Linked DNA regions of Rhinolophus ferrumequinum. The protein of the gene in region 1 purifies or fractionates together with the protein of each later gene. This does not show direct contact. Links are inferred from orthologs where the notes say so. Each region holds a gene or a part of one and is shown on either strand. Other genes may lie near its edges.

What was found. Proteins that work in one complex are often made in the same cells at the same time.
Region 2: the proteins of SYMPK (region 1) and CPSF4 purify together in Homo sapiens (affinity purification with mass spectrometry; 4 studies listed by BioGRID and IntAct, counting the BioPlex papers as one, with this or other methods). This does not show direct contact. The link is inferred for Rhinolophus ferrumequinum from reciprocal best matches to the Homo sapiens genes SYMPK and CPSF4.
Region 3: the proteins of SYMPK (region 1) and CSTF2 purify together in Homo sapiens (affinity purification with mass spectrometry; 4 studies listed by BioGRID and IntAct, with this or other methods). This does not show direct contact. The link is inferred for Rhinolophus ferrumequinum from reciprocal best matches to the Homo sapiens genes SYMPK and CSTF2.

Annotation. Positions count from the first base shown.
Region 1 is NC_046298.1:42,117,531-42,125,346, forward strand, and holds the start of SYMPK (symplekin), read right to left. Parts: upstream 3,628-7,816; 5' UTR 3,514-3,627; intron 230-3,513; 5' UTR 211-229; coding exon 106-210; intron 1-105. Other genes in the region: FOXA3 (hepatocyte nuclear factor 3-gamma), read left to right, coding at 4,582-4,650. UniProt on the Homo sapiens protein: Scaffold protein that functions as a component of a multimolecular complex involved in histone mRNA 3'-end processing. Specific component of the tight junction (TJ) plaque, but might not be an exclusively junctional component. May have a house-keeping rule.
Region 2 is NC_046290.1:89,660,422-89,668,057, forward strand, and holds the start of CPSF4 (cleavage and polyadenylation specificity factor subunit 4), read left to right. Parts: upstream 1-4,169; 5' UTR 4,170-4,321; coding exon 4,322-4,424; intron 4,425-6,223; coding exon 6,224-6,274; intron 6,275-7,636. Other genes in the region: PTCD1 (pentatricopeptide repeat-containing protein 1, mitochondrial), read right to left, coding at 1,435-1,914. UniProt on the Homo sapiens protein: Component of the cleavage and polyadenylation specificity factor (CPSF) complex that play a key role in pre-mRNA 3'-end formation, recognizing the AAUAAA signal sequence and interacting with poly(A) polymerase and other factors to bring about cleavage and poly(A) addition.
Region 3 is NC_046284.1:53,627,063-53,635,484, forward strand, and holds the start of CSTF2 (cleavage stimulation factor subunit 2), read right to left. Parts: upstream 3,468-8,422; 5' UTR 3,414-3,467; coding exon 3,356-3,413; intron 2,280-3,355; coding exon 2,201-2,279; intron 1,385-2,200; coding exon 1,215-1,384; intron 519-1,214; coding exon 382-518; intron 1-381. UniProt on the Homo sapiens protein: One of the multiple factors required for polyadenylation and 3'-end cleavage of mammalian pre-mRNAs. This subunit is directly involved in the binding to pre-mRNAs.

The DNA.
Region 1 (7,816 bases):
CAGCCCAGCCCCCTTGGCCCTCCCTGGGCTCTGCCACCTGGGGGTGGATCACCCCAACTGGGGCTGTGACCCCCCCACACACCAAGCCCTTCTTTCCATGCTCACTCTCTCTGAAGTGGTCATGCCATCAATGCCCAGCCCCTCCTCTTGTGTGAAAAACTGTGATGCCACGCTCCGGCGAGTGACGCTGTCCCCGCTGCTGCCTGCCATGGCTGCTGTCTAGTACTCCCTGGGGAAGAAAAAGATAGATCAAGCTCTGGGAGCCTGTGCGTGGGCTGGGAGTTTCATCCCACCATCCACAAAGGACTCCAACGTCTTTTCCAGCCTGTCCTGTCCTTGTTGGGTTTACTGAAGCCCCTCTCCACTTCAGGGTCTGTCTCAGATTGTAAGTGTACACAGGGGTTGTAATTTGGGGATGATCGATGTCTCTCAGGTCAGAGGCAGTACCTCGTGGAGCACCAAGACTCACCTCCAGTACTTCATACGTAGCGGGCTGACCACAAACATGTGCTGAATGACGGAACAAATGAACACACAGCAGCTAAGGCACTGGCCGCAGTGCCTTCCTGACTCTTCATCTGGGCTGTACTCTGGACTGGACACCAGAGCAAGCTTTCTAAAACACACCAGTCACAGAGTCCTGCTCACAGTAAGTACTCAATACATCAGAAAAGGCTCAGTTGAATAAATTATGTTTCAGCCATTTTCTGAAATGCTATGGAGTTGTTTTCAAAAAGGGGTGGGGTGGGGAGGGAAAACTTTTGGGCTCTGTCCCAAAGTCACAGTGGCACAACTATGAAATAAGAAGGATCTCAATCACAGGACTAAGGAGCAAAAGACTATTAGCACCCAAAGGGTTCTCAAAGAGGAAGACTGGCTGAAAAAGTATGATAGAGCTACACCATAAAACACTATGCAGCTGCGAAAAGGAATGAGGGAGGGAAAAAGGAGGAATGAGGAAAATCTCTATACACTTATGATCGGTGGGCTCCAGCATATATTCAGTGAAAACAAACAAAGTAGAAGACAATGTTTACTGTATGCTCCCTTTTTACAAAAGAAAGGGAAATGTGTATATGTTTAAAAAAAGGAAGAAGAAAAGAAACTGAAAGGATAAACCAAAAAGCAGAAGAGGAAGGAAACGGCAAAAAAAGAAATGAGTGGCTCTCAGTGCAATATCATCGTAAAAATATGTCCCCCACAGCCTGCTATAATAATACATCACAGAACATGTGCAATTCAATCCATTTTTGTTAAGTTTGCGTATGTCTACACAGAGCGACCTGAGTCAGTTTTGTCTTCTGTGAGACAGAGGTGGTCACAGTGCTTGCCTCGCAGGAAGGACTACCTTGAGTTAGGACACACAGTAAACATGAGATAAGTACAGCTGCATTTTTATAGACATGAGAAAAGATCGGAATGATACTACATAAACTGTTAACAAAAATTTGAGGGTGTCTGCAGGACGAATGACTATCCAGCATCCTCTTTCCTAGTATCCCTGCTGCCTGTCACCCCCACATCTTGCTTGGCGTCAAAGCCAATGTCCTCACCAATGCCTAGAAGACCTTACATGATTTGGTCCCTTCTATCTCTGCCCACAGCTCCTCTCTGCTCTCTCTGCTCCAGCTACTCTGGCCTCCTTGTCCCCTGAATATGCCAAGCGTGCCCCTTCCTCAAAACCTTTGGGGTTCTCTTCCTTCTGCCTGGAATACTCCTCTTCCCAGATATTGGCACAACTCTCTCCCTCCACATTTCCTTCAGGTCTCAGCTCACCTACCTTGGCAGTGAGGTCTTCTTTGACCACCCTATTTCAAATCTCAATTTCCTTTCTCTCCCCATCTGTGTTGTTTCATTTTTCTCCATGGCATTTATTATCATCTATACACTACCTACTGTGTTTCCCCGAAAATAAGACCAGGTCTTCTATTAATAGACCCCACATCTGTTCATGCAACTCATGGCCACCCAACAACCAGCACACTGCTGTCCCCCATCAGAACATAATGAAGCTTTTCATGTGAACCTTTTTTTCATGATGGTAATACGTGTGGGTATCGAACCAGCAAACTTGTTGTTAAGAGCACTGCGCTCTAACCAACCGAGCTAACTGACTGCCCCCTCTACTTTTATTTTCTTTGTAAGGTATATACATGTTTCCCTTTCTTTTATAAAAAGAGCATATATTAAACACCATCTTCCTTTTCATCTGTTTTCACTTAATGTATGCTGGAGCCCATTCTCCATATCAGTGTAAAGAGATTTTCCTTGTTCCTTTTTACAGTTGCATAGTATTTTGTCATGTGGATGTTATCAGTTTTTTTCTGCCAGTCTTTCTACTAAAGAATGTTTGGGGTCCGGCCCAGTGGCTCAGGTGGTTGGAGCACCCGTGCTCCTAACGCCGAGGTCGCCGGTTCGATTCCCACATGGGCCAGTGAGCTGCGCCCTTTACAGCTAAGACTGTGAGCACCGGCTCTCCCTGGAGCTGGGCTACCATGTGCTGCCATGAGCAGCCAGTGGCCGGGGACCATCGTGAGTGGCCAGCAGCTGGCGAGAGCTGCCATGAGCAGGCGACCGACGACTGGAGACCAACTGCCTCAGCTGGGGGGAGCGCAAGACTCATAACACCAGCATGGGCCAGGGAGCTGTGTCCTACACAACTAGACTGAGAAACAACGGCTTGAAACCGGGTGGGGGTGGAAGAAGGGGGAAAATATGTGGGGTGCTTGCAATCTTTTGCTATTACCAACAGTCATTGTTTCCCCTTCCTTTCGGTGTCCTCCTTATGGAGTACCACTGCCTCCCTCCCACCTGGGAGCGTGAGGACTCCCCTCATCTACACAGTGGCCCCAGGAGTATCTTTCATTCATTCACCAAATATTAACTGGGTGTCTTCAGTGTGACGGCGTTGTGCTGGGAGCACAGCAGTGACAACATACACCCAGTCCCTGCCTCCGTGGAGCTCACAGTGACAGACATAATCAAATAGTCAAACAAACAAAGGTACAATAACAAATCAGAGGGCACATGACATGAAGGGAAGGTACAGGGACCTCTGAGAGCGTTTAACAGGAGGATTTCGGGATGGAGGGCAGGAAAGGAGGGCTTCGCAGAGGAAGTGACGTTGGTGCAGAGACCCGAAAGATGAATGGGAGTTAGCCTGGCAGAATGGGTAAAAGGATGTTGCGGGCAGAGGGGACAGTATGTGCAAAAATCCTGAGGCCTGAAGGCGCATGGCGAGTTTGAGGAACCGAAAGACCAATGCAACTATTCGAAGTGAGGAATGAGCAGAGGCAGAGCCAAGGCCGCGGGACGGACGCGCCTTGGGGGCCACGTTGGAACTTTGCCCTAAGGGCACTAGGGACCCACGGGAGAGTCCTGAGCAAGGGAAGAAACTGGAGTACCAAACGTCACTGCTCCCTTCTCCTCTGCCCCCATCCCTCTGCCAGCGCTCCTGCCGCTTCAGGGTCCTTCCTCCCTTGGTCCCCGGGCCCCCACGCCACCCCAGCTCACCGCGGCTCCGGCTTCCGTCCCCCTCGCGCCCCCTCAGCAGCGCCTCTTCCCAGACGCCGCCGCCGCCGCCATCTTCCGCTCGCCGCCGTGACACTGCGCACGCGCCGCACACACGGGGTCGCCGGGAAATGGAGTCCACGCAGTAGGCAGACCCCACCCCTATTTCTAGCCCAGCGAGCGGCCTTCCGGAATACTCCCGGTGGCTCTTCATTTCTGGCGTTCGAACGCCGTGCCTTCTGGGAAATATAGTCCCTTGGCAGAGGCTCGGGACAGGAAGGGAGACAGAGACTTCTGGGAAACGGAGTTCACGGTGGTTGAGTTCCTGGACGGCTGGTATTAGCGAGAATGGAGAGTACGGGCGGCGAAGCTCCTAGGTCTTGGAGGTGGTCTGTTGCCCTAGTGGAGTCTGAACAGAAGCCCCAATTTCCTCCACCTTTGGTCCTGACCTTTTGGACAGTTCGGAGCATTTCTATTAATAGCTGTCGGAAGCTTCAGTATTCCAGTCCACCTAATGGGACTGTGGTTTCGAGGCTCTCCTACCGGTCCTTATAGAGGCAGACTGGATCCAAGGAGTTCACTGCGCTCTGAGGCCCCTTTCTTCCGCGGCGGTCGTGCTGGGTTCTAGCTATTCGCCCTCTACTGTCAAGATGATGTCTGGGGCCCCTGGGGTGGAGGGCCCCAGAGTTCTGATGTCGGGGACCTTAGTATCAGCAGTGTCTCCCAGCAGTAGCTCCCTCACTCTTCAGCCATCTCCAGCCCTTACGTCCCCGGGCTGCGGCTCCCGGCGCCTGAGGTCTATCTCCTCGCAATCCCGCAGGGGGCGCCCCAGTCCGAGCGCACCGCCCAGGGAGAGGCGGGAGGGGAGCCCGGGGCGGGCGAGGGCGGGGGGGGGGTGTCCCGACTATAAAGCGTGGACGCCTCCCGCGGCGCCTGGGACGGCTGGGACCCTGGGCAGTCAGTCGGACGGGCGGGCGCCGGTTGGAACTCGGGCCGTGCCGGCTGAGAGATCCTTAGCGCTCGGTTCCCCCCGGGCCGGAGCAGGGGCAGGTGGGGGCGCAGGCCCGGGGGATGCTGGGCTCCGTGAAGATGGAGGCCCATGACCTGGCGGAGTGGAGCTACTACCCGGAGGCCGGCGAGGTGTGTCCTCGGGGATGGCGGAGCGGGAAGTGTGGGGTAGGAATCAGGGTGCGGACTTAAATGAGGGCAAGGATTGGGGTATGGGCTCGAATGGGGGCTCCAACTAGAGTTGAGGAGTAAAGGAACTAGAGACACGGAGACCAGGTGTGGGATTCAGGGACGGGGCCAGGCATGGGAGTGCGGTTACCCCAGGCTAGTCGGAGTGAGCGATAAATGGGAGTCAGGAAAACTTAAGTAAGGATCAGGTCATAGCTTAAACGTGAGAGCTGGGTGTTGGTGACCCCAAATCCAAGGGATTAAAATGAACAAACCAAAGCTAGGAATCAGACCTCCCAGAATAGGAGACAGAGCTGGGGGATTAGGAAATGGCTTCAAATTTGGGGGGAAAGACAGGAACTAAGAGATGGCAGAGGGAGGTCACCATTAAGGGAAATCTGAGGTGAGAGCTCAGGGTTAGGACATTGGGGTTCAGGGATAAGGATCAGGGTGCGATCTAAGATGAGGTCAGAAATAAGGGTTAGTGCTCAAGGATAAGAGATGGAGGTTAGTTTTGGTAGTCTGGAATAACAGGTGGTTTAGAGTTGGGGTTCAGATAGATGGGGGCCCAGATGAGATCGGAGTTGGAAGCGGGAGAGCAGCGGAGGGGTCGATTTCCATTCCCCACCCCCACCCCTACTCCTGACCCTCACCCCTTCCAACTGAACTTCACTGCTTTAATTGTTAGAGACCCTCAGCAGGGATTCTCCTGTTGGAGGCTAGAAGGTTTCAGATTTCACACCTCCCTACCCTCCTTCCAGTAATCTCCAGTAATTGCTAATGTCCTCACTAGCCCCATCTCTGACTAGACCACCCTGGAGTAGGGGGCAGGGTATATCTTACTTCCCTCACCCCAGCAGGCAGAAAGTCCTTCCCCTGGTCTAACTCCCATTCCTCTTGCTGCAAGGACTCCCCCTTAGCTCACTGTCTCTATACTCAACAGTGTGAAGTGGAGGGGGGATCTGGACACTTAAATTCCTAACCTGGAAGGGGACTGTGGACTTGAGGCAGGGGAACTTGAATGTCTGAGTTTTACAAGGAGGCTGAGATCTGAGGGTTACAGGGGCTCCCAGGTGCCTGAGTCCTGGGTCTGGGGTTTGATGCTGTTATGTGGGTCTCTCGGATCCCCGGGCCTGCGGGGCTTGGCATGGTGCCTGGGAGGGGCCAGTCCTGGGGCTGTGAAGGTGTGAGCTGCACGTGGGGTGGGGCAGGCCGACCAGGGAGGGGGGGATTGGAAGTGTTGAGAGGTGGAGATCGGCAGCTGGAGGTGTCAGAAGGCAGAGACCAGGTTGGAGGTGAAGGCTCCCAGGTATTGGGGCATCCCAGCTGAACCTCCAGACAGTTCAGAGTCTGGGAATATGATTTAAGGGAACCAACTACAAATCAGTGTTTTGGGGGACACACCTTATCAGTAAATGTGGAGATCTAGGATGGAGGAATCCTTATGTGGGGCACACTCTGAAGTTTAGGGGACACATTGTGTCAGAAATTGAGAGACAGTCTAGAGATGATCAGCATTTTGGGGCATATTTTGGAAGAGTTGACATGGGGGGCCGGAGATGGAAATACTGTCTGAGGGTCTCCCCAGCCTTTCCATCATCTGAGCCACCTCCTTCCCTTGGGTCAGAACAAGGTACAGAGAAACATTCACACTTACTCAGCTACTGAGAACTGTGAGGTCCCCCAAAGTGCTTCTGGCCTTCCACGCCTTCCTGCTGGGGTGATATTAACACCCCCAGGCTGGCTCCCCGTGTGGAAGGAAATTGAAAGGTATCACCCTGGGGTGGCCCTGTTGGCCCCCAGTTCCCACAGATCAGCTGGTCCAACTGCTCCCCCACTTCAGAGAGGGAAACCCTGAAGCCGCCTGGAGTGTTGGGGGCTTCTTTAGGTCCTGGGTAGAGACTGGGGCTAGAAGCTAGGCTTCTGGCTTCACATTGCCTCCCTGTGATCCGTCGTCACACCCTCCTCCAGAGACAATAAGGAAATGAAAGGCGAGAAATTTCAGCCTCCTGGGGTGGGGGTGCAGGTCCCCTGAGGGCTTTCCCCCCAATCTCAGCCCCGCCCTGGCAGGGAAATCCGGCTCAGACCCGGACACTGGGGGTTCATCCCAGCCTCGGGGCGTGGGAAAGCCTAGGGTGGATTAGGGCAGCTGGAGTTCTAGAGATCAGACCTCAAGGAGGACTTCCGGGTGGGTGGGTAGGTAGCCAGAAAAGGAGGGCCCTGGGGTCCCAGTCTGTCTTCCTCTGTGATACAAGAGAGTCCGACTGAGTTGGAAAAATGGGAGGGGGGTTGCAGAGGAATTTAGGAATTCTCTGTAGATCCCCCTAAATCCATCACCTTTTCCCTTCATCTCTTCCCTTAATCTGGGGAGGGGGCAGAAGCAGCCAACCATGGGGGAGACCAGTGCATAGGGGAGGGGAGTAGCTGGGAATCCAATTTCAACGTGAGATTTCTGAGGAGCGTGATACTGAGGCAAGGAAGCAGATGGATACAAAGGTGTGCTGAGGGAGAAAGAGAAATGGGGAGATGGGAGGGGAGTGGGGTAGAGAGAGACAGAGGGTGAGAGAAAGGAAAAAAATGTGGGGAGGAGAGACAGTGGGAAAGGGAAAGACAGGGCAGGAGGAGATAAACATGGGGAGGGGGAGGGAAGGGGTATAGAGGTACGGTGACAAGGAAGGCGATGGACAGACACACACAGAACCACCAGGGAGATTCAGAGACCTGAGAGAAAATTGCTACGTGGACAGACCTATGAAAGAGGGAGGGGAGAGTTTCTCCACTAGAACTCAGAGCTGGGTTGGTTGCCACCTGTCCCTGACTCAGAGTGTCCATTTTCTCTCTGGACCTTGGGACCTGCAGATGCTCACAGACAGGGGATGAGAAAGGACCCACTGCCTCGTAAGAAAGTTGGCTCCAGCCAGAGCTGGAGCAGCACCCGCAGTGCCAGCAGACCCCAGCAGGGACAGGGAGCAGGTGAAGTATTGAAGGAGAGAGGACGGAAGACAGTGGATGAAAGGAGTAAATACACACAGAAAGAGAAATCACTATCCACCGTGCTTCGTATTTTCCTTATCTTGTTCACTTCCTGCTGAACTGTCAGCTCCATGAGGGCAGGCATTTCAGTCTGTTT
Region 2 (7,636 bases), on another chromosome or scaffold:
CTAAACCATCCCCCTTCAAATCCCGGCTTCACTCCTTTGTTTTTTTTCATCCATGCATTCAACCAGTAGTTACTGAGTCCTACTATGTGCCAGGCAAGATCTATCTGCTGAGGCTATAGCTGAGAACAAGATGGAGCTCCCTCAAGCAGCTTATCCTCTGGTGCGGAAAGACAGACATCAAATGAGATGACCAAGAAAAATACATAGTATGTGGAATGTGCTATGAACAACAATGAAGCAGTAAGTGCCAGAAGGGTATAGGAGATTCAGGGTTAGATATGCCAGCCAAGCAGGGCCTCATCCACAGGGTGACAGGTGACCAAAGATGTGAAGGAGGTGAGGGAAGAAGCCCCTTTGCTATCTGACGGTATGGCCAGAGCAAAGGCCCTGAGGCAGGAGGACGCCTGGGAGCAGAGAGGAGACGGGGGTGGCTGCAGCACAGTACATGGGGGAGGAGGCCAGCGAGGGCTGAAGAGTGGTGGTAGCAGACCTCGCTGGCTTCATAAGCCATTGTGAGGACTCTGGCTTCTCTTTGTTTATTTCTCAACTTTTCATTACGGAAAATTTCAAATATACACAAAAGTAGAGAGAAGAGCTAACTACAACAATTATTAACATTTAGACAGTCTTGTTTCATCTACACCCTGCACTTCTCCTCCAAACAGAATTTTTTAAAGCAAATTCCAGACATCATTTCATTCATAAAATCTTCAACATGTACCTCTAAGAGAATTGTAAACAAACGAATGTCATTATCAATACTTAAGAAAGTGAATACCTTCAACATCACTGACTACACTGGAAATTTTGGAGAAGAGTTAATGCTATCTGCTTTCTGCTTTAACTGGAAAGTTCTATGCTGTGAGCTGACATCAAGGCAGAAGGTGGCAAGAGCAGTGGGGAGCCCAGTAACCAGGATAACAGCTGTGAGGGCAAGGAGCAGGCTAAGCCTGGGCGGGCATTCAGGGGTGGGATTGTGAGAAGTGTTAGGACTGACAACATTTTGAAGTTGGTGAGAGAAAGAGAAGAGTTAGGAATAACCTGAAAGCATTTGGCCTGGGCAGACGGAATAATGCGGTTGCCAATTAGTAAGATGAAGAAAGTGCAGGGAAAACAAGGTTGGCAACAAAAATTTCAGGTCCATGTGGGTAAGTGGAAGGGAGATGGTGAGGAGGTAACTGGATACACAGATCGGGAGTCCCCGGGAAGTCCAGGCTGGAGATACAAATACAAGAGCTGCAGTGAAGGGGGGCACTGAAAGCCAGGGGGCTGGCGGGTCACCTGGTACAGCACCCAGGTGAGGAAAGACAGAGGAGAGAAGAGCCGTGAGCATCCCAACCTTTAGAGATTAAGAAAGCAAAGTGGCCCCTCACAAAGTACTGGGCTACCGTCAATGGAGGAGCCAGGAGCAGCAGAATCCAAAAGTTCCCTCACCTTCCCTTCCTTGATCAGGTGTTTGCACTGAAAGAAGTACCAGTAAGGGGTGTTTCTCCGGCCTTGCCATGATTTTGGATCCAGTTCGTTTTCTTCATCTTCTTTAACACTCTGTTCCCTGAGCCGTAGGTTATACAACTGGGCCGTTGATTTGCGGAACATTCTCCGAGAAGAGTATTTATCGGAAAGGGTCCCAAAACTCTCCTCCTCCTCTTCCTCCTGGTTGGCCATGGGGCTGGGCTGGCTCAGGTCAGAGCTGCGGTTGTGCGTGTTCTTCTGGCTCCCCTGGCTGAGGGGCAACTGAGAGGGCGAGCTGCTGAAGGCTGCTGATGTTGGCCCAGTCGGCCCCATGGCCCTCAGCCAAGCAGGCCCCTCCCTAGCTCCTGCCCACCTGGCTCGTAGAGGGTCAAGGCATTGCAGGACAGACAGTCCCATGGGGCGGGGGCTGGAAAAGAGCCGGGAGAGTCTCACAAGGTCCATCTCTGGCTTTTACCTCCAGGGCCTGGCACAGGTCAGAAAAATATTGAAGTTAACTCAGGTTCATAGTCCAAAAAAGGCAGAAAGACAGAGAAGTGGTCATAAGCATGAGCCCTGAGGTTAGAAAGCCTATGTTCTGACTTCAGTTCTGCCAAACAACCATCCATGAGTCCCTGGGCACTCAATGCTCTAGCCTCAGTCTCCTTGCCTGTAAATTGGGGTTAACTATAATGTCACCCACACAACACTATAGCAATGATTGAAGTCTCAGATATACAGTGTGCAGCACAGTGCTGGCACATTAGGCACTCAACAGACATAAGCTACGGATATTATCAAACTATGATCAAAGAGCACGGTGCTGAAATCACAGCTGAGTTTGAGTCCTAGCCAGAGCTGTGTGTCTATGCCTATTACTTGACATCTCTGTGTCTCAATTTCTTCAGCAGCAAGGTAAGGATAACCCCACTTGCCTCAGCACGAGATTATAAGGACTAATGATATATTTTTAACACAATACCTGACAGTTAATAGGTGTTCAAAAAATTGCAGCTATTAATCATTTAATATTAGGAAAAAAATTGTTGGCATTTTGGGCCTCTGCACAGGAAAGCTAACTCAAGCACTTCTTTTCTGCAAGTCGTAGACAAATGGGCTAGAACTGTGCTGTCCAATATGGTAGCCACTGGCCACATGTGGCTGCTGAGCACATGAATACAGCTAATCTGGAGATATGCTAAAAGTACAAAATACACATCAGATTTCAAAGGCTTTGCACACAAAAAAATCAATGTAAAACACACACACAATTATTTTACATGTTGAAATGATAACATTTTGGATACACTGGGCTAAAGAAAATTTAACATTAATTTCACAATTTTTTTTACTTTATTTAATGTGGCTACTTGAAAATTTAAAATTACATAGTGGTCACATTATATTACTACTGGACAGTACTAGGCCAGAGGTCCTGCTCTGTATACTTAAAACTCTTTCATAAAAAAATATCAGAGTAACCATTATGAAAATATTTTAAGGCCTGGTTATATCAGATCACCACTGGAAAGACCTCAGAGGTGACGGCAGACTAATAACTGAGGCCCAGGTAGGGAGTGACATGCTGGGGGCCCTGCAGCAGTGCTGTGGGCAAGGCTGGCCAGCGGTGGAAATGGGCTGGCTTTGAGCCCAGGTCAAGGACGGCCTCTCTTGACTAGCGCCCTAGAGACACTAGTGCAGAGGGCCTTCACCATTCCATGGCTGGTGAGGCCTGCGACTCCAATAGAAAGACTCCAATAGAAACAATGGTAGCATATATGTAATCTTAAAATTTCAACTAGCCACATTAAATAAAGTGTTTACATGCATTAAATGAAATACATAAGATAACAAAAAAAAATCGAGATAGGTATCAGATGTCTTAAAAACAAACTTAACGCTATACTAGGTATATAAGCTTCTTTTCAACACACTAAAACAAGATCCTATCTATCATCCTGTTAAAGTAGTAATGAGTGGAAATGATAGCTTGTAGTAGTTGCACATACTCTATCTCCAACTATCCTTTACACGCATCACCACTTGAAATCACAACTTCGTCTTGGAGTTTTGGGCACTGCTAACGCTACTCGTTAGTCGGGAAAGGAAATGCTCAATTTCACAGAGACAATAAAGGTGTAATTTTCCTACCCAAGTTCATTAATCTCCCTAGGCTAAGAACCACTGAATTAGAGATACGCTGCCGCTGTTCTCCCTTGGGGGACCAGCCCCTCCCCAGACATTCCTGGAGCCTCAGGCCAACCCAACCCCTCCACACTGATCTTTAGAACCTCGGTTTCCTCACGGGACGCCCCGGGCTCAACGCCGGCAGTGACACTCGCTGCCCCTCTGGTCTGTCCCCGCCCAGGTTCCACGCTCCGGTGAGGATCAAATAGGAACTCACTCCGAGTCCAGGGCAGTGAACACGGCCCCGATGTCCGCGCCGCGTCGCCCGACTCCGGGTCCGCGTCCCCAACCCGCCCCTCCGTGCTTCTGACTCCCCTTCCCCGCCCCCCTCTCCGAGGCGCGGAGTCCCAGCCAAACCTCGCGCAGGCGCAGTCTACGTTGCGAATTCCCTGCGCCTATAAGTTATTCGCGACCGCGAGGTGAGACGCGGGTTTGGCTGGCGGCTGGCAGGGCCTAGCGGAGCGGCCCGTACTCCGCGCTCGATTGGTCCGGTCTGAACAGGCGAGAGGCAGGCGCGGGCTCTGGGCGCTCCCGGCATTCCGCGGGCGGCGGCGGCGGTGGCGGCGGCGGCGGCGGCGGCGAGGCGAGGCGGAGGAGGACCGTGTGCGGTGGCGGGTGGCAGGTAGAGGTGTGAGAGCGGCGAGGTACTGAGGGGAGCCGGGCCGGTGGGGCCGCCGCCGCCGCCATGCAGGAAATCATCGCCAGCGTGGACCACATCAAGTTCGACTTGGAGATCGCGGTGGAGCAGCAGCTCGGGGCGCAGCCGCTCCCCTTCCCCGGCATGGACAGTGAGCGTGGGGCCGGGGCGGGCAGGCGAAGGGTGCGACCGACTCGGACCTGGGACCCGACCCCGTGGACTCATGACCCCACCCCCTCGGTCCTCGGACTTGGACTCGGGTCTTTGATCCCCTGGGACTAGTTTAAGACAAACTTCAGGAGGGCAAGACCTAGTCTGGCTGTTCAAATAATTCTTGAATGAAGGCGGGTACTCTGGGTTGAAAATCCTTCCCCCACCCCCGCACACTCCCCGCCTGCAGGAAAATACCGTATAACTCTCTTCCCCCCTCCAGCCCCCTACTGTGAGCGAGCTCCCTCTTCTTGCTCTCGTCAGAGCTGAGTCTGGAGGAGTCTGGCTGAGGGAAGGAACTCCTCTGTAGGATATCCTCAGTTAGACTCTCAAGCTCCTTTCTCCTAGGACGCACACTCCTGCGAGCCTGTCTCTTTTTCTCTGGACCCCAATTCTGAGTCGTTCATCATACCCTGGCAGCTGCCTGCGCTCCCCCCACTGTTGATAGCACTAGCTTGAGGCTGTGGAACCATCCATGCAGGACAGCTCTTTCCATCCCACCTGTCTCTAGCCTGGGACCACAGATACTGGAGTCTGTGAGGGCAGGCGCAGTGGTGAGGGGCCCACAGACCTGTTTCTAGGGAGGGTCAAGGACATAACTAGCCACGGGTGCTGCCCTGACTGGCCTCAGACTTGGTAGCTGCCCTCAGCGCACTGCCTGCCAGTGATCAAGTCCAGTGTGTTAAAGCCCAGGGAGGCCACAGGCCCTGTCCCTGAACTTCATTTCTTAGTTTGGGGAAGAATTGTCTGTTCTGCCCTGGAGGCATATTCTTTTATTCTGTCTGCCTGACACCCAGTCCCCAGGACTGGGGACTTCGGGCTTTAAGGAATGAAGGAAGCAACCCTAACTCTTTTTTGTGAGACATTTTGAAATGCAAATGAGTGACAGCCCAGGACTCCCAGTTCCACAGCCGTTAAGTCTCTCCCAGCAAAATATGCCTGCTCCCGAGAAACCAAGGAATCTCTCGCAAGTTAGCAAGAAGAGGCACGGAAGTGGCCTTCAGAGATGCTGTCTGTAGGTTTTCAGCAATTCTGAAATGCCCTGTGAGAGAGAAAACTGTTTATGACACCGGAAGGTTTACTCTGATAGCAGGGGTAGTCCTGGGCGCATTGGAACAGCCTGTCCCCTGAGCCCACTGACTTCCATTGCGCTCACTCAGCCTCTGTTCTCTTGCTCCCCTCATCTGAACTAGCTGCATCTGTGGAAGCAAAAGACTGCCCCTTTAATAATTGTGTGTTGCTGCTGCATATTAAGAGCAGTCCTACTTCTGTATCTTCAATTATGCTCTCCCCGCCCAAATAGCATCTCTCTGGAGCCTGTCCGTCCTCGGTCCACATTCGCTTGTGTTTCCTGTGAGATCATTCCCTCCTTCTGCCTCACGTTAAATTAGCCCTCTGGAATGTCCAAGCACAGTGTAATTAATTTCTGTGATCTTGTGCTCCATCCTTCCTTCCCCCACACACGCTTGACTCCTTGAAAGCATCTTTATTGTAGGAAGCTCTCAGCCCTGAATAATGATTACTCTCAACAATATGTCTCATTTTACGGGGAGTGACTGAAATAAGCAACTTTCTTCTTGCTTGGTTTGGCTTTGCATTTTTTTTGCCAGTCTGTTACCTATACCATGAACCCTTAGTGGGTTAAAGACCAGAACAGTTCCCTCCCCCATCTTCAGATGTTACCAGTAGTAATCCTACGTTGCTTTGATTGACGCCTCTCCTATTCTCTCCTTTCTACAGAGTCAGGGGCTGCTGTCTGCGAATTCTTTTTGAAAGCAGCCTGTGGCAAAGGTAAGAGACCCCTGGCTCCCTGGGGGATGTTCCTTCCACCACCCTAGCCCTTAGCAGACTTGCAGGCCATCAGGTCTCTAGCTTACATGGCTTTCTGCAGACAATGTCCCTAGATGAAATTGTGGTTTGGGTAGGCTAGGTACATGAGAACATGATGGAGTGTTTTGCCTGAAACCTAAAACACAGGATGGAAGCTGGCTCTGAATTGGCCTTCTCATCTCACTTTCCCTGTGGCCACAAGCTGACCTATGACATGAACAGAAGCGCCTAGTACTGAGATGCTCAGGCACTTTCTCACAGTCACAGAGTTAGTGAGTGATTGAGCCCAGTGTTTGAATCCAGGCCTTTCTGGTTCTACGGAGTCGACACGGGCTCACTGTCCTTTGTGTCCTCTCATCAAAAAACCCCATGATAGTGTCTCGTGGAGTCACGTTCATACTAACCAGGGCCCAACAGAGGCTGCATGAGCCAGACTACCTATCCATTAATTCATAAGAAGTCTCGCAGGGCAGGACCTTACATACCATGTAGAGGTCTGGGCATCTTTCTTCCTATAAGCAATTTTAATCACAAGCTTAAATAGGGAGCACAGAATTAGAGCAAGTTTCTTTTTTATGGCTGATTTTGGCAAGTTTGGGTTCTATAACTCAGTCATTTACAACTGAAGCAATAGACCTATCAAGTGGATCCACCCGGTTGACCTCTGGTGTCTAGTTGGAACATCATCGCCCCTGGGCTGGTTTCATGGCCACGTCCTTGCTTGGTAATTGTGCCTTTCTGACCTGCCACCATCTGTCCTTAACACCAGCAATATGCCAGTCTCTTTGTTAACTAATACAGTAGCCACTAGTTACATGTGGCTATTAAAATTTAAATTAGTTAAAATTAAATAAAAATGCAGTTCTTCAATCACACTAGTCACATTTTAAGTGTTTTATAGCCACGTGTGGCTACTGGCTGCCATACTTGACAGCATAAATATAGAATGTTGCCACCATTGCAGAAAGTTGGCAGTGGGTGGGTCTAGATCTTTTCCAGTCACAGCCTCATTCTAGTCAGGCCTTCCCAGTAGTCCTGCCAGGCCACTGTTTAGAAATATGACTTTCGCAGATATAGCTCTGTCACATCCGGATGGATGATCGCTCAGGTCCGGCTATAGAAGGCAGACCTCCCCGAGTTTGTATACAATGCATTTCTTTAATTCTATACTTGATCTTCTTAGTTCGTGAAGGTTAAGTGGGAACTTCTAACTAAAGATGGAGCCCGCCTGGAGTCCAGGCTTCTGGTGGTCCTCTACCTTCTATCTTTTAGGGCTGGGTTTCCAAACCCCCACTCCCCGCAACCCACGCCTCCCCCTGTAAT
Region 3 (8,422 bases), on another chromosome or scaffold:
TAATATTCCAGAGGCTTTTTAAGCTGTCACTGGTTTTTACACAGCACACACAATCTTGGTCATGGCAGGCAAGAGAAGAGGCATTTCAAATACCACATTATCATTTAGGGAAAAAGCCACATTTTACTATCTACATCTGTTAGCTATGGGTCACAGAAATACAGCCAGACGGTGTTGGTGTGTTTGTGCACAAGAATGGAAAGCTCTCTGCATGAAATATAAAACACACCAGGCACACATGGAATATTGAAGGTGCAAGAAATGGTGGTCAACAGGCACGCCTTCTATTTGAGCTCAGGAAATCATTTCCATTAAGTTTATTAATTAACTCTTGAGAATTTGATGTGATTGGATTTATTCATAACTTAATCCCCCTCCCACCTTCATTTGTTTCATCAGCTCAAACATCTGCTCTGGTGGAAGACTGGCAACTGCTTTGCTAATGGACTCAGGGGCATCCTCAGGACTGATGGTCTCTCCATAAGGTGACTCAATGACGGGGGCACCAGTGCCAAGACCTGATTAGGAAGAAAGTACGAAAAAGTTAAGGAGGCAAAATAAAGAAATAAATCATTTCAAGAATCTACTTTCCAGGGCTGTTTAAGGACACACTGATAACTTTAAATTCTCTAGAGCTCAGAAATAAATGATTTCCAACTCTCTTACTTCTGTGGAGGAAAGTGACAGAATGCATTTTCTGTTCTCAAGAGTAAAGCTGGGACCAGGATCACATAGGTGGACAATGTTAACCTAAATTAGGGATTAGGCACATTAACTTTCTTTGGCAAGCCATTTCAGAAGCAAAAGGTTTAAACAGAAAAATATGCTAATATCAAAATGGAATTCCTGGATCTATAAACCTCATTAAAAAAAAAAAAAGCCGTAAGAATGCTAATATCCCCACCACATACAGATCTGGCCACATAGTTACAGGAGTGGCAAACACCAACGACCTAGTTAGCACTAATCACTTGGTGAGCCTGAATTCATCTTCAACTGGAATCAACTCCTTGGCAACTGAAGGACTTCTAAAGTCAACTTTACCTTGTTTCTCAAAGATATACACTTCCCTAACGCAAACACCTTAGGTGGGTCAAGTAAAGAAGCTGAGTGGGTAACCATTTCAGCAGATGCTAAAACATATCATAAATGGAAAATCTTCATTATTACATCTTTACTAACTCGTGTTGCATACAACTTGGGTTTATACTCACTCTTCAGCTCTTCTTTGTTCTTTTCACTGGCAGCATTGTCTACTCGAAGTGCTCTCCCACTGAATTCACGCCCATTCAGGTTTCGCATGGCACTAAGTGCTGTCTCTTGGTCTTGGTATTCACAGAAGCCATAACCCTTTGGCTTTCCTGTCTCCCTATCATATACCAACCTGGAGAGCACAACCAAGTATAGGCACAAATGTTACATACACACAGGGTTCCTGCTAACATTGCCATATTCCAATTTGGTCAACTGTAAGACAAATAACCTTATCACTCACTGAAATATTTTTTAAACACTTCTTTTTTAATTTACCAATTACAGTTGACATGCATAAACATTTTTTTTAAAAAAATGAATCCCTCCCCCAGCTCAGTTGACAAGAAGATTTTCCAGGGCAGGACAGGTCATAACGACCAGTAACTTCTCTGTGACTAGTGAAGGGGCTTGCGCAATTTGGTGTGGTGGGAAAAGCCTTCACCCAGCAGTGTTGTCTGTAGAAGTAACAATTATAGGGGCGGTGGAGTAGGGAATGCTCACAGCTCCACTAGCATGAGGTTGTAATCCTTGTTGGAGAGAGCATATTTTTTTTGGCTTGACTATGAGCACATGCAGCAGATTCTGCAGGAAACCCAAACCAGTTACACATACCTGGCTGACCCTGAAGCTGAACACGTGCATCGGAAACACAAAAGTGCCTAGCGGAGAGTAGAAGTCTGGGCATATTTGAAAATGGCATGCACTTTGAATGCCACCTGCCCATACCCACATACATTTAAAGAAATCTATCTTTTAGTAAAAATGAATGGGAATTGCATGGTATGTGAATTATATCACAATGAAGCTGTTACAAACAAACAAACAAACAAACAAAGGAGAATGCATGTGAAAAGTCACCAGTATAAACCCTGTCATAATTACTAAGGGCCAAATTTTGTGATGATTTTTAAAGAAACTCCCACCAGGTAGTGAAAAGGAACCTCACCTGAAACTAACAACAGGTCCAACTTCAGAAAAGATGTCCTTTAATTGCTCTTCAGTAGCCTCGTATGGAATGTTCCCCACTAAGAAAATAGGTAACATTAAAATTCTGAGTTTGTAACCTACATCTTTATTAAGAAAATACAGTACCTATTTATATCAGAAAATGTGACAACTTGCTCAAAATACAGTGCTCCTCCAATCCCAGTTCCAAGATTTCAATCTCGCCGGCTAACTTTAATTGCAAGAGAAATAAACCACTGAAACTAAATACAAAAGGTGTAGACATTTCTAAACACCTTTATCAATTCTCAGACTGATCTGACAAGTGTTGGATTTTCCTTAACTTTGGTGAAAAATACTTAGGCATTGCTATTTACCTGAAGGGCTGCACGTCTTATCAGTAACTACTAAAAATAGCAACATTTTAATTCTTAAAACCGGCTCATATGTCCGGATTACTCCCCCACCCCCCACACACACTCAAAGGAGAATGATCGTGGAAGTAGTGGAAGATGTTTAATAATTATTCTTAAGTGTTTTGTCATGTCCCTTCCAAAAAGTGATTTAAAATCACCACACATACTTTAAAAACACAACTTATTTCGGCTGAAAAGATTCCTTAGAATAGATTCGATCCTCTTTAAAATTTCTTCGACGAGGTCTTAATCGTTCATTCATTCATTTATTTACAATCCACCTTAAGACGCCAGATTGCCGCTACCACTACCAACGAACTAAAATGTTACGGGCTAAAAGCAGAGGATTAAAGTCGTTAGGAGCGAGCGGGAAGTGGACACAAGGATCCCAGCACATAATCTGTATTCTGGGAGAGGGGATGAGAAGTAGTAGGGGACAGCTGCCATGCGCATTCGCTTCTAGAAAATTGAAGCTCGTGAAAGGAGAAACGCATAGAAGTTGAACGCTAGTTTAACTTCCTCAGCCACATCGTGGTAGGGCTGCAAAACCTCGGAGTAAGGGGAGCATCCCTTTGCCCACGAGTCCACCAGCTTGCCCGCCGCACAGGAGGCAGGGAGAGCTGCACGCCGGCCCCATCACCGGTTCCCGCGTCGATTCATGAGATGCAGGGGGCGTTCCTCGCCGCTCACTGCCTCTTTCTGTCCCTTCCCCATGCTTGGTTCCACCGAATTCCTCTCACCGAACACTGAACGTAGCGAACGATCCACCGCAGGGTCTCTCACAGTCAAACCCGCCATCGCTCTTCTCCCGAGGCTTCCGGTGCGCCAGGGCACTCTTCCGTAAGGCGCGTGCCTCCAGCGCCCAACAGGCTTCCGTATTGTGCGTGAACCGGAAACACCTGGCCCGGCGGACGCAGGGCCCCCTCCCCTGGCGTCATTCCGTCACAGGCCGCGCACGTTACTTCCAAGAGAACATTAACCCTTCCGGGCAGGGCTGCCGCCTGTCGTTCACGGTCGGATTCGGGTAGGCCCAGGCTAATTTGAAGCCTTTATTGTTCATGTTTTACTTAGGCTAACGCAAGTAATTGTCGACCACAATAAAGATGGAAGCAGTGGCTTTACCATAGTAACAGAGAAGTCATTTGCTAACAACCATGGCACTTTCATTTTAATTACGCCCTGTTGGGGGAGGGAAATGCTTGGCCGCGCCCCAGCGGCGTGCACATTGTCATTTTGCAAATACTGTGAGTTTACGGAGTGCGATGGGGAAAGAAAATCGCAGCAGCCTAGAGAATAAGAGAGTGAGGGGCACTCAACGTTAAGGCGTTAACATAGCTGAGCAGATGGGGAGGTAAAGGGAGAACAGACCCACGTCTACGCTGGTCTAGCCCCTGGGCTCCATGTTTCTGGTAATGGGGGCGGGGCGGGGCGGGGTGGCCGAGGACATTGGCCGGCAGGGTTTCAGAAAACATCAGAACAGGAAACATCATTGACCGGTGGTACACAACAAGCAGCTAAAGCATGATTTGAACTCAGGTTGCTTTGGCTCCAGAGACTGAACGCTTACTGCTGTATTTATTGCCTCCCAGGATAACTGAGAGAATATGGGTGGCTCAACATATTACCATTGCTGGAAAAGAACTTAGAGCATGTGACCTGAGGATGTTGGGTCAATGACTCACAATATAATAAACCACCCAAGACTAGGTTGAAGCACTTAGCCAGAGCTTGTTCTGCTGCGATTAATCATCTGTGGAGAACTTACTGTTGGTTCTATCATTTCATCAACCAACCCTACTCTACTGGTTATAAAAGAGGAGGTGTGTGCAAGGAATATTTCCTAAGTTTTGCTTTTTTATATTTGAGTTTCACTTATAGGCAATGTGCTAGTGACCCCATCCTCAGTGTCTTTTGTCCATGAGAGTCTTGGGAAACTTCACTGTGACACTCCCAAAGTGACACATTTCCTTTGCCTTCCAGTTATAGCAAAATAAAGACGGAAGATGGGACGTCTGACACTGTTGTAGGTATTATGGCTTGGCCTCATTTAACACAATGATACAGGTACAGTATGAAGAGGTAGGAGGAAAACTAGGAAAGGTACATTACTACACAAAACGGACTAAATATATAGGATAGGTGTTATTTGGGGGCCTTAAGCAGAAGAGAAAGGCTTTGTATGTAGCGGAGAATCAAAGAATTTGGGAAATCACAGGCAAGATTTGTGGGTCATTGGCAGGAAGTTTTGTGGAAAAGTTCTGAGTTCTTATCCAATCTTGTTGATGACACTAAGAATCTTAGATAATGTACAATTGAAGCAAGCAAAGACGTTCAGAATTGTGAGGGCCCAGAGACTTGGGTTCTTTCTTCTGACCATAGAAGGTCAAACTTCCAAGGCTGGTTAAGTACTACTTCATGTTTGACCCACATTTAAAGCTCCTCAAAGAGTCATGGAATGAAATCCCTCATTGTTCCTCCAGGGAATATCTGGGAAGGCAGCAACTCCTGGACAGACATCATGGCATGAAAAAGATTCCAGATGGCACTGTACCCATGTTAGGAGAAATCCTCAGTAAGTAATGCCTGAAGAGCTCAGGAAACTAGGAGCCCTCAGAGAGCACCTGAATGCTGAAACAGATCCTAGTCTGTATCTGGACGTAGGTACCAATTGGTTTGCTTTCCAGAAAGAAACATCATTCCTAAGTTTTGCACTACTGCATTATCACACTGGTTCTGCAGCAATATCTGTACTTTCTGGGAATATTTAAGGGTTCAGCTCTGAGGCTACTCGACAGAGAATTGTCCAGTCCATCAAAGCTGGTCATTCTGGTCTTTTGATTTTAGCATTTTCATTTTTTATTTCTTATCTAACTGCTTTTGCTCTCAGTTCATGCTCAGTGAATACATTTTCTGTATTCCTTTCCCAGAAGGTTCAGAATTCTTCACCTGCTCAAAGGCTGCCTTATAAGATACATTGCTTGGCAGCAGGCCAAGGAGCTGGGTGATCTCTTGAATTGGGGGAAGATTTCCCCTGTTCTTGGCAATGGCGTGGTGACCTCTTCTTGCTGAATGAGGACTGCTTCCAAGCCAAACACTAGGGAAAACAGAATAAGAGGAGGAAGTCTGAGTTCTTTCCTTAGAATCCACCAACCTTGTCTAAAACTTAAGTCTTTTGGGGGACTTGTTCTGTTTCAGAACCAGAACTCTAGGAGACTATTGGCTTGGCACTTGGAATCCAGAATTTAGTAAAACAAAAGTGGATGTCACTGGACAGCATTTAAACTCCAACAGTGTGCTGCTGGGTGAGCATGACTGGATAGAGCATGTGGATAATGGTATCAGATTGGGGTTAACAGGGTAATAATGATTAAAACAGCTAATATTTGTGAAGGGCCATGTAGAATACAAAGCTTTTCCACATAGATCTCACTTGATTCTCATAATACCTGGGAAATAATTTTAGTATGCAATTTTTTTATTGTGGTAAAATAAAACTTACCATTTTAACCCATTTTAAGTGTACAATTCAGTGGCATTAAATATATTCACATTGTGCAACCGTCATTACTGTCCATCTCCAGAACTTTTTATTTTCTTAGACTCGAACTCTATACCCATTAAGCATTAATTCCCCATTCTCCACTACCCCCGTCCTCTGGCAACCATCACTCTACTTTCTGTCTCTATGAATTTGACTACTGTAGGTACCTCATATAAGTGGAATCATAACACTATTTTTCCTTTTGTGTCTGGCTTATTTCACTTAGCATAATGTTTTCAAGGTTCATCCATGTTGTGACGTGTCAGAATTTCCTTCCTTTTTAAGGCTGAATAATATCCCATTGTATGTATATACTACATTTTGTTTATCCATTCACCCATTGATGGACACTTGGGTTGATAAAGAGATACATAGGGTGAGGTCTGGGAGGGCCCCGACTGCTGGAACTTCTTTCCCCATGGAGTTGGGGACCCTTCTGGTACATGGATGTGTTCACCCACTTGGAAATTCTTTGAACTCCCTCCATTTGTGACAGTTATGGAGGCATCATCACATAGCCATGATCAATTATTAACTCCATTTCCAGCTCCGTTCCCTCTCTGGAGGATGGGGGGGTTGGGCTGAAAATTCTAAGCTGCTAATCATGGCTTGGTCATCCCATCCAGGAATCCACCCAGAGTTGCCTCATTAGAACAAAAGGTGCTTCTAATGCTCTTATCACTTAGGAAGGTACAAGAGTTTTAGGAGCTCTGTGCTAGGAACTGGGGGGCAGAGACCAATATATTTATATTTCTGTTATCTCATACTTTTTTTTTTCTAACTGGGGAATATTGGGGAACAGTGTTTTTCTAGGACCTATCAGCTTCATGTCAAAGTCATCGTTTTTCAATCTAGTTGTGGAGGGCGCAGCTCACTGGCCCATGTGGGACTCGAACTGGAGACCTTGGTGTTATGAGCACTGCACTCTAACCACCAAGCCAACCGGCCGCCCACCGTGGGCTCAGCTCCAAGCTCAAGCCATTGTTTTCAGTCTTGTTGTGGAGGGCGCAGTTCACTGGCCCATGTGGGAATCGAACCAGCAACCTTGTTAAGAGCTCGAGCTCTAACCAACTGAGCTGTCCGGCCGCCCCGTTATCTCATACTTAATGATCAGTGAGGTTGAACATATTTTAATGTGTTTATGGCCCATTTATAAATCTTTTTTTTTTCTTGGAGAAATGTCTGTTTAAGTCCTTTTCCCTTTTTTTAAATTGGATTGTTTGTTTTATTTGTTGTTAAGTTGTACGAGTTTTTTAATAGATTCTGGATACTAATCTTTTATCAGATATATGATTTCTAAATATTTTAAATATTTGTAAATATTTTTTCCTATTCTGAGGGTTGCTTTTTTACTCATTTGATAATGTTTTTTGATGCATAAAAGTTTTTAATTTGTTTTTCATTTTGATGGAGTTTATTTTTTATTTTTTTATTAGTTTCAGGTGTACAAAACAAAGTAATAGTTAGACATTTATAATTTATATCCCTCCCACAGTGATAACCCCCCTCTCCCCATCTACTACCCCTCTGACATCGCAAACAGCCATTACATTTCCACTGTCTCTATTCTTAATGCTGTACTCCACTTCTTGTAACTATATATGTATATAAAATTGCAGTTGACATTCATTATTGTTCAGCTTCAGCTTCAAGTGTACAGTGCAATGATCAGGCATCTACACCATCCCTGAAGTGGTCTCCCTAATGAGACAAGTGTCCATCGGGTACCCTACAAAATATTTACAACATTATTGAGTACGTTCCCCAAATTCACTTTCGTATCCCCGTGGCAATCTTGTGGTTACCCATTGTGCTTTCTAATCCCCTCACCTTCCCCGTTATACCCACCTCTCCCACCCATCTAGCAACCCTCAGTTTTTCTCTGTCTCTGAGACTGTTTCTGATTAGTTCATTCATTTATGCTTTTCTTTAGATTCCACATGTAAGTGAGATCATATGGTATTTGTCTTTCTCTGTCTGACTTATTTCACTTAGCATAATGTTCCCTAGGTCCATCCATATTGTTGCAAATGGTAAGACTTCACTCTTTTTATGGCTGCATAATACTCCATTGTATAAATGTACCACAGTTTCTTAATCCAGTCATCTACCTATGGGCATTTCGGTTGTTTCCATGTCTTGGCTATTGTGTATAGTGCTGCAATAAACACAGGGGTGCATAAATTTTTTCGAATTATGGATAGATACCTAGGAGTGGAATTGCTGGGTCATAGGGTATTTCCATTTTCAGTTGTTTGAGATACCT